Rattus norvegicus: one gene and its partner. Each later gene encodes a partner of the first gene's protein in a complex. Each region holds a gene or a part of one and is shown in the gene's direction. Other genes may lie near its edges.

Region 1 (3,812 bases):
ACTACTGCTATTCCAGGTGCTTTTGGCTGTGGGAAGACTGTGATTTCCCAGTCTCTATCCAAGTACTCCAACAGCGATGTGATTATCTATGTCGGCTGCGGTGAAAGAGGGAATGAGATGTCAGAAGTTCTCCGGGACTTCCCTGAGGTCTGTCTACAGAAGACTCCACATAACCGTCTGGAGGAGATCTGCATGTCAGCTGTCACTGACAATAGTTTATGCTCCATGGGCCAAGAATGGTGCTTTCGGTTGTCAAGATGCTTTCAAAGAATTTTAAATTATATTTTTGATTAATCTGTATATTTTAAAAAAGGAAAATGAATTCTTTGAAGTTTCTCTTCTTTATGCTCACTTAAGAGAAAAATAAGGCGGATAAAAGAAAAAAAATTATATTTTGACTGGGTATGGTGGCATGTGCCTCTAATTCCTGTACTTGGGAGGCTGAGCCAGAGGGTCAATAGGTCAGGGCTAGCCTGGACTACATGAGACACTGTCTGAAAAACAAAGTGTGAGAAACTGAACATTTAAATGTGAGACTTCACATGGGCTCTGTGGTCTAGGTTACTGTAGTAGCATGTCCTTTTTCGTAAAAGAATGGATTTCCTTTGTTCATTTGAAATGTCCAAATGAAATTGCCCATTTGTCAGAGAGTCCTGTGGAGCAGGAAAGAGAGGTTGGCATGATGGGGGTGGTCCTAAACAGAAACAAGTTACAATGTTTAAGTGGGAGAAACTAAATTGTTAGCGTGTTGGACTTAAACTGGAGCTCACTGATGGATTTTACACCCTTAGCTCACTATGGAAGTTGATGGTAAAGTAGAGTCCATCATGAAGAGGACAGCGCTGGTAGCCAATACCTCCAATATGCCTGTGGCTGCAAGAGAGGCCTCCATTTACACTGGTGAGTTAGGAGTTGGACGAAAAGACTTTAACACCTGTTCTCAACTTTTAACACTAGCACCCAAATTTTCTTTCCCAAAGAACTTCATCTTTAAAAGACTCCCATATAATCACTTTCCTATCTTAAGAAATATCTGATTTATTATGTGTATCTACGAATAAATAAGCATAAAATTGTTTAAAAGAGTGTGTATGCCTGTGGGTGTGTGGTGTATCTTTTTTTTTTGGTTCTTTTTTTTCGGAGCTGGGGACCGAACCCAGGGCCTTGCGCTTCCTAGGTAAGCGCTCTACCACTAAGCTAAATCCCCAGCCCCGTGTGTGGTGTATCTTATCCACATGCCACACGTCTGTGTGCCCTTGGAGGACAGAGAGCATGTCAGATCCTCTGGAGCTAGAATTACAGGCAGTTGTGAGCTGTCCGGCTCGGTTCTGTGGACAGAACTCAAGTGCTCTGCAGAAGCTCTTAACCTCTGAGCCATCCCTCCAGCCCCAAACGTAAGATGTTTGGTGAGCTGCCCCAGATGGTCGTCTTCACCTCCTCCTCTCTCTCACTGACCCCCTGCTCACCCTCCCCACCCCCCCCACACACACCCTCACCACCCCTGCTCACCCTCACCTCCCCTGCACACACTCACCCACCCTGCACACCCACCCCTGCCCTTTTGCTACTGTTGTTGAACACATCCAGGGCCTTCCTTGCACATACGAGGCAAGCACTCCTGAGCTACAGTCACACTTCCACGTCTCTTAACACTCATAAAGCAATATGTTTACCTTCTTAATTTTATTATCCATCTGTATTTTAGCATCGTACTATATGAATACTATATGAATATGAAAGATAAGAAATTTGCTATACTGTGTCTTTTCTCTTTCAGCCTCAGTGTTTAGGGCCTTTGTTTCTCCATTTTTAGGAATTATTAACTCTTTATTTTGTTCTAGAACTAGAGAGCCAATATTATTTAGACTTTGGCCTTCCCTAAATGGAGCCAGTGTTCCCTGTGGCTAGTTTAGTTTCTCTCGTTATTTCTTGTTTTATTAAATGTGTCTTTTGGAAGTTTCTGCAAGAAAGACTCACAGAAATCTTCATTTTCCTTGAACTCTTGCTTTCTTCATAACTTTCCAGGGTTTTTTTTTTCCCTGTTGCCTTTAAACTTTAACAGTTGTATTTCTGAACTAAAATGATTAGACCAAAATTTTTTGTAACCTGGTAGTTTTTATATGTTGACTTTCATAGACTTCATGGGTTACTATAGTAATACTTACTTTGTTCATGAAAAAACAGGTTTAATTTTTGAGGTAAAAGGACTGTCTATTCAAACCTTAACGGTGGTTTGGCTGGGTACAAACTTCTTAGATCAATATTATTTTGCCTGAGAACATTTATTTAAGCAGTAAATATTGGGAGCAAAATCTGAGAATGATTTTCCCCCTTTTAGAAGTGACTTTTCTTGGTCCAAGGAATTTCTCTTTAAATTTGAAGTCTCATAGCTTTCATAGGATCTGTGGCAGCGTTGATAGCTTGAATACTCCTTCCTAAGCCATGAACCCTGTCAGTCTGTGAATTTGTTTTTTTATTTTGAGAGATTTGAGGTTGTATCTGCAACCTTTTCCTCCATAGACATACTGGAGCCCTTCTGTTTTCCAGGTCTGCCATCTCCTGTCCTGTCTTTTATGTAGACTCTCATGTGTACACACAATGTGTAGTGTCTGTTCCTAGTGTTGCCTCTAATGAAGCCTACATTTCCATACTGGTTTTGGTTTTCTTCCAGGTAGTTCACTGGGCCACACTTTTCGTCTGGTCCTTGGCAGGCACTTTTGCCATCACCGTACTTCCTTCTACATTGTTTTTATTTAAGTATCTCGGACCATTACTCAGCTTTGTGAGAGATGGGTGGAACTGGCTGTGGCCGGTGCAGTGGAACAGGAATTCTTCACGGTTACTTGTGGAATTTGTTATGGCCCGCAGTTGTGTAATTATTTTACTGTTTCTCTTCAGCAAGCCATTGGTAGCGAATCCTTTCCTCTACCTGCCGCACCCATGCTGTGTCATGGAGACAGGGAGCACCTGCTCGTACTGTGTTTCTCCTCCATCTTTCTGCACCTCCTCCATGCCCCCTAGGCCCAGGGAGCTCCTACTCCGGCCATTCTGCTCTGTAGCATGTGGGGCCCATTCACAGAGCTCAATTCGAGTTGTGTCACCTCAGTGAGTCCTTGAAGCTTCCCTGTTCCTGGATCAGTTTTCACGCATTTGGATCTTTTCCCTGTTGTTTTAGCTTAGGGCTAAGTGTATCTTCGCCTTAGACACTGGATCTATAGTGCTGTCTTTTACTCTTCTTGTTTGGTTATAACTTATGAAAAGGAGAAGAAAGTGGCATATTCATGTACTATTTAAGATGGGAAGTCTACCTCATCTCTCATATGGCTGCAGTGTTCCTTCATTGGATAGAGCAGAAACATTTTTTTATAAAGATGCTTGTATTTTAAATTCTGGGGTGGCATTGCATGAGTGCAGTGCCTGCAGAGGCCAGAAGAGGGCATTAGACCTTGGAGCTGGAGTTAGGGGCCACCGGCTGGCACTGGAGTCTGAACGGGCTGTGAGAGCCATCTTAACTGCTGCACTGTCTCTCCAGCCTCAGTAATCATCTAACCAGCACACGCTGGTTATGCTTTAACTCTGACGGCCATTCAAGCGGTGTGGTAACTGTGAGAGAGTTTGTCTCTCATCTTCACCAGTGCTAATCCGGTTAGCAAACAGAAAACATGAAGCAACTGAACGAAGCACCTAGCACCTGGAATGGATGATTGACTTTTAACAGTTGTTGCTGAATTACATACTAGTCAGTCTATATGTAAAATGGACTGGCCTCTTTCCCATGACATCAGCCATTTAAAAACTGCCTGCTGTCAGTT
Region 2 (4,291 bases), on another chromosome or scaffold:
AATGATCAACTGTCGATGGCCCCCTACCCCTTTAACATCAACTTAATGAGAAAAATAAAGACTTTTCTTGATGCATCCTTTTTTCAAGGACCTATGTTTCTACCTTAGTGAAAATCAAAGCATCCTAGACATGGGGTGGGAGTGGGGGGTTTAAGAGCTTCAATGTGAACACAGTTAACGCTAAAGTTTTTCTTAATCTCAGGCTTTCAGCGCCCACTATAAGACTCTAGTTTTATTTTCAAAGTTGCCCAAACAGGGTAAATAATCGCCTCAGCAGCATGACTTCAATAGCTGATTTCCAATTCCAGGAATTCTTTCTTACAGAAATGCACAACTAGAACGGAAAAACAACGACCTTCAATGCTAATAGTTACGTTTCGGATTTTTTTTTTAAACTTAAATACGGTGGTTTATCCTATTGATTCTCTGACTAAAAGTTCAGTCTCCAAAGAGTCAGAAGTTTTGGTAGTATCCTAGAGCTGAAAAGAAGAAAAAAAAAATGCTCAAATTCTGAGGCCCGGTAAAAGCAAAGCGCCCAATAGTCCTGAACTAGGGGTGGGATGTCGGAGCGTTCTCCAGAGGCCTCCCCACCACAAGACATCTTTAGGGAGGCTGTAAAAATCTACTTGGCCCACGTTCCTTCACGGGGTTCCTCCGCCCGTACAGCCACGTTTCTGGTTCACAGGACCAGACACCGGTTGGCGAGAAGGCGCAGGAAATATCCAGCGGGCCGTGGCGACGTTGTCCAGATACTTCCCGCGCAAGAACGGGAAAGGGGGGGTGGGGTGATAGCCCGGGGCCTAGACCACTCCTATCACTGGACATAGCTACGGCGAATTCTTGGGGAAAGCAAGGTGCGGGGCCAATCACCTGAAGTGTATGTGTGAATCCCGAACTAGGGTCCCACGCCGGGCTCCTTAATGGCAACGATGAGACTCGGAACACCAACACCGGACGGCGAAGCTCCTCAGCGTGCGCTTCGCCCAACCCAGCGCGCATGCGGACCCACCTCTCACTGCGCAAGCGCCGACGGAAAAGGTCCTTCGTTACCACTAACCATAGAGTCTCAGTCCTCCTAATATGGGCGGTTTGAACCACAGGGCGAGCTGAAAAGTAACTTTCCTTGGTATTTATAGACTTTGCGGAGGGAGTTTGCTAGGCTTAAAGAAGAGGTAATGTTCTATTTCTTGCTCCAGGATGATTACTTTAAGTTTTACTCAATCAAGAGATGGCGCTGTGACGAAAGATGGAAAGCTGAGGAAGAGGAGGAGCGTGATCTTCTCCGGACCCATCACTCAGCACTCGCTGAGTGCGGGCCACTCGCCGGAGGGAGGGGCAGTGAAGAGACCCGGAATTCCGGGACTGTGCTCTCTTCCACATCCGGGCATTCCTAAAGGCCCGCCCTCTCCTCTGTCCTCTGGCAACAGGAAGCGGAAGTGGGAACCGGTTTCCTGGTTGCCTCTTAGCAACGCACGGGGTCAAGTGACACCGTCAGCTGACTCGGGTGAAGGAAGGCTCTGTGGTAACAGTTCTGGAGGTGTTGCGGTCCCGATTGTCCCACTGGGGACCCGAGCCGAGTCACCGTCAGAATGTCGGGCAAAGACCGGATTGAAATCTTCCCTTCGCGAATGTAAGTTAAAGAATAGAACAAGTGACACCACGTTCAGGCACATCTTCCCGGAGCGCATTCCTGCGCACTCTTGGCCACCAGCGGGGTTTCTTGTTTTCTGGGCCGACCTGAGCTTCCCCAGGGTCTTCCCCTGAGTTCCGATTGAGGCTTCTTTACAGCCCCCTTCACCTATTCCCCCTGAGAGAAGAGGCTGGAGAAAGTGTTTCCAGTCCAAAGGAAAAGGGGATCCCCTGCTGGCTCTTTTTGGAGGTCGATGTCTTTACTCATTCATTCCACACACCTTCTGAGCCATTCGCGGAGTTTACATAACCGAGCGGTCGCCATCTCTGCCTCACAGGGCTCATCAGTGCTGAGGGATGAGACGTAGAAGCTAAGATGGTCTGACCAAAGCTCTCAGACGGGGAAGTTAAGTGATGGGAAGCAAGTAGAAGGTCTCTAAGCCAAAGTGACATCGAATGTGTCATCCTCTCGAAGCTGTAGGTTTCAGTCTTGGATCCCATCACATGTTACCTGCTGTAGGAAGATATTCCTGCATTTCTGAGGTATTCCTACAGCCTTGTGATGACTGCTCTCTTCTACCCTAGCAATGTCACTCATGACACTGTCACACGGATATTTATTTGGGCTGTCTCCTGGAAGAAGGAGGCATCTTTTTAATGCATAAAAGGTCCACAGAAAATTGTTCCCTTTGCCTTGGGATGTGCTCAGTTGCAGGCTGCCTTTCTGCTTCGGCCTAACATCTTTGTTAGGAGAAATAACATTTGTAAATGAAAATTTGAAGTTTTCTCAAATACATATAATAACTCGTGGAAAGTAGAGATTATTCTTATTTATGTTGTCATCTTCAGTTGTCCCTGAAGAAGGAAATCAGATTTTACTCTGATATTTTGGGGACGGTTTAGGGTTTTGTGTATGTGCGCGAGCGTGTGTGTGTGTGTGTGTGTGTGTGTGTGTGTGTGTGTGTGCGTGCGCGCGCGCGTGCGCGTACGCATGATACTGTATTGTTTTCCTTATCCTATGTTTTTTTTTTCTCACAGATCTGACAACTCTTAGTTATATTTAAACCCCAGAGTGAATTTCTGTCTCTGCCAGGGTGTATGTAGTTCTGAATGAATGAAAGGATTTAATTATTTAAAAAAAAACAAACCCCTTTTACCTTTCTCCCCACTGACTTTGAAATGGCAGGTTATACTAACTGTACAAATGGGCTAGTTGTGGAAAAATACAATGCTTGTGAAACAGCTAAAGATCAGGACTAGCCGAGGGTGATCTGAAAACCCAGCATGTAATGATCCCATCCAAACTTCACTGAGACACCAGATTCCAGCATGGCTTCTGGAAACAAGGCTATGCTCCTAGGGTGGCCCAATTCTCCCCCGAGACCCTAAGTCTAACTATAATGCCACTGAGTAATATCTCAAAGGCAGAGCTCTGGCCTGTCATGCAAAAGGCTCTGGGTTGAATCCCCAGCACCTAAAAGTAAAAATAACCACGCCTGCCTCAAACAAACAAAGCTCAGAGCCGATAGGAGAATTAAATACTTGTTTTGGCTGACACCTGATCAGTAGATCCTAGACCTTTCTTTGAAAGAACATTTATTAAAAAGGGTTTTTAATTGACTATGGTTTATAGAATTCATAAGCATGTCAGGGATCTGAGAGGACCCTTTACAACCACAGTGGCCTCGCCAGGCTCTGCGTTCTCTGAGTCTGCTTGAGTGTTACTCATGCCCAGGCATGTCTGTGGGAGCCAGGACGGTGCTCACCTTTTTGCTTTGCTGTCAGTGGACTTACTTATAAATAATGTCTGGCCATATTTAATCACTATTCATAATGCTGATATGTTTATTTTTACTTTGCAACTTTTAATTTAAGACTACAAGGTGAAAAATGGACTTCTTTGGGCTCAGACAGGAGAAATGATAGGTTTGTGATCGTGAAAACAGTTATTTGAGAGCACTCAGCTTGCTAGTTGAGAGGAAGTCAGGGGTGCGAAGTAAATGTTTCCCCCAAAGCTTGACAGCAGGTTCTTTGTCATATAGTCAGATGTCTTTGATTCAGCAGGAGACAAAGTCACTGTTTTAGTTGAAGGTCAAACCTCTCGTTTCCTTTTTGTGTGTGTGTGTGTAGGGCTGAGAAGCTCTGAAACAGAAAAGAACAGGTTTAACAGCCATAGTCCAGATCACACAGTACTGATAGTGCTTTCTCCTTCATTCGCTTGGTGGTACTGTCCTGTGGAATGTTGCTTTTATTCATGTATCACCAGAGAAAATGAAACAAGCTTGGATGGAAGCAAAGGAGGTCCAAAGGGATGTGACTCTGATGATAGAGCACTTGGCCAGCATCCACAATACCCTGGCCTTCAGTCCCTCCTACTACAGAAATCTGGATGTGGTGGTACATACCTGAAGCATAGCAGGATCAGGGGTTCAGAGCCAGCCTGGAATACATAAGAACCCGTCTCAAGGGGAAAAGGCAGAAAAACTGGAGTTAATAGAAGTCAGGTAAACCTTGGTTCTTGTGAGTGTTGGGCAAGTCACCTCTAACCCATTATTATCTATCCCAGGCTGACCTTCAGCTTCCAGTCTTCTTGCCCGGGTCCCAAGTGTTGGGTTTACAGGTGTTCACCACTCCATATCCAGCTCCAGTCGCTCTTTAGTCT

Evidence for each region.
Region 2: the proteins of Atp6v1a (region 1) and Atp6v1d are in contact, whole or in part, in a cryo-EM structure (PDB 9B8P), measured with the Rattus norvegicus proteins. Residues at the interface, in NP_001101788.1 of Rattus norvegicus: Ala366, Met368, Pro369, Ala370, Asp371, Ser372, Asp416, Ser418, Asp436, Lys438, Glu491, Gln494, Leu495, Val496; in NP_955418.1 of Rattus norvegicus: Lys4 (codon at 1,599), Asp5 (codon at 1,602), Arg6 (codon at 1,605), Arg167, Ala171, Val175, Ile176, Arg179, Tyr186, Glu190, Arg194, Glu197, Tyr200, Arg201, Lys204, Ile205, Lys208.

Annotation. Positions count from the first base shown.
Region 1 is NC_086029.1:70,098,483-70,102,294, forward strand, and holds part of Atp6v1a (V-type proton ATPase catalytic subunit A), read left to right. Parts: coding exon 1-147; intron 148-791; coding exon 792-900; intron 901-3,812. UniProt on the Homo sapiens protein: Catalytic subunit of the V1 complex of vacuolar(H+)-ATPase (V-ATPase), a multisubunit enzyme composed of a peripheral complex (V1) that hydrolyzes ATP and a membrane integral complex (V0) that translocates protons.
Region 2 is NC_086024.1:103,402,485-103,406,775, reverse strand, and holds the start of Atp6v1d (V-type proton ATPase subunit D), read left to right. Parts: upstream 1-1,429; 5' UTR 1,430-1,589; coding exon 1,590-1,630; intron 1,631-4,291. UniProt on the Homo sapiens protein: Subunit of the V1 complex of vacuolar(H+)-ATPase (V-ATPase), a multisubunit enzyme composed of a peripheral complex (V1) that hydrolyzes ATP and a membrane integral complex (V0) that translocates protons.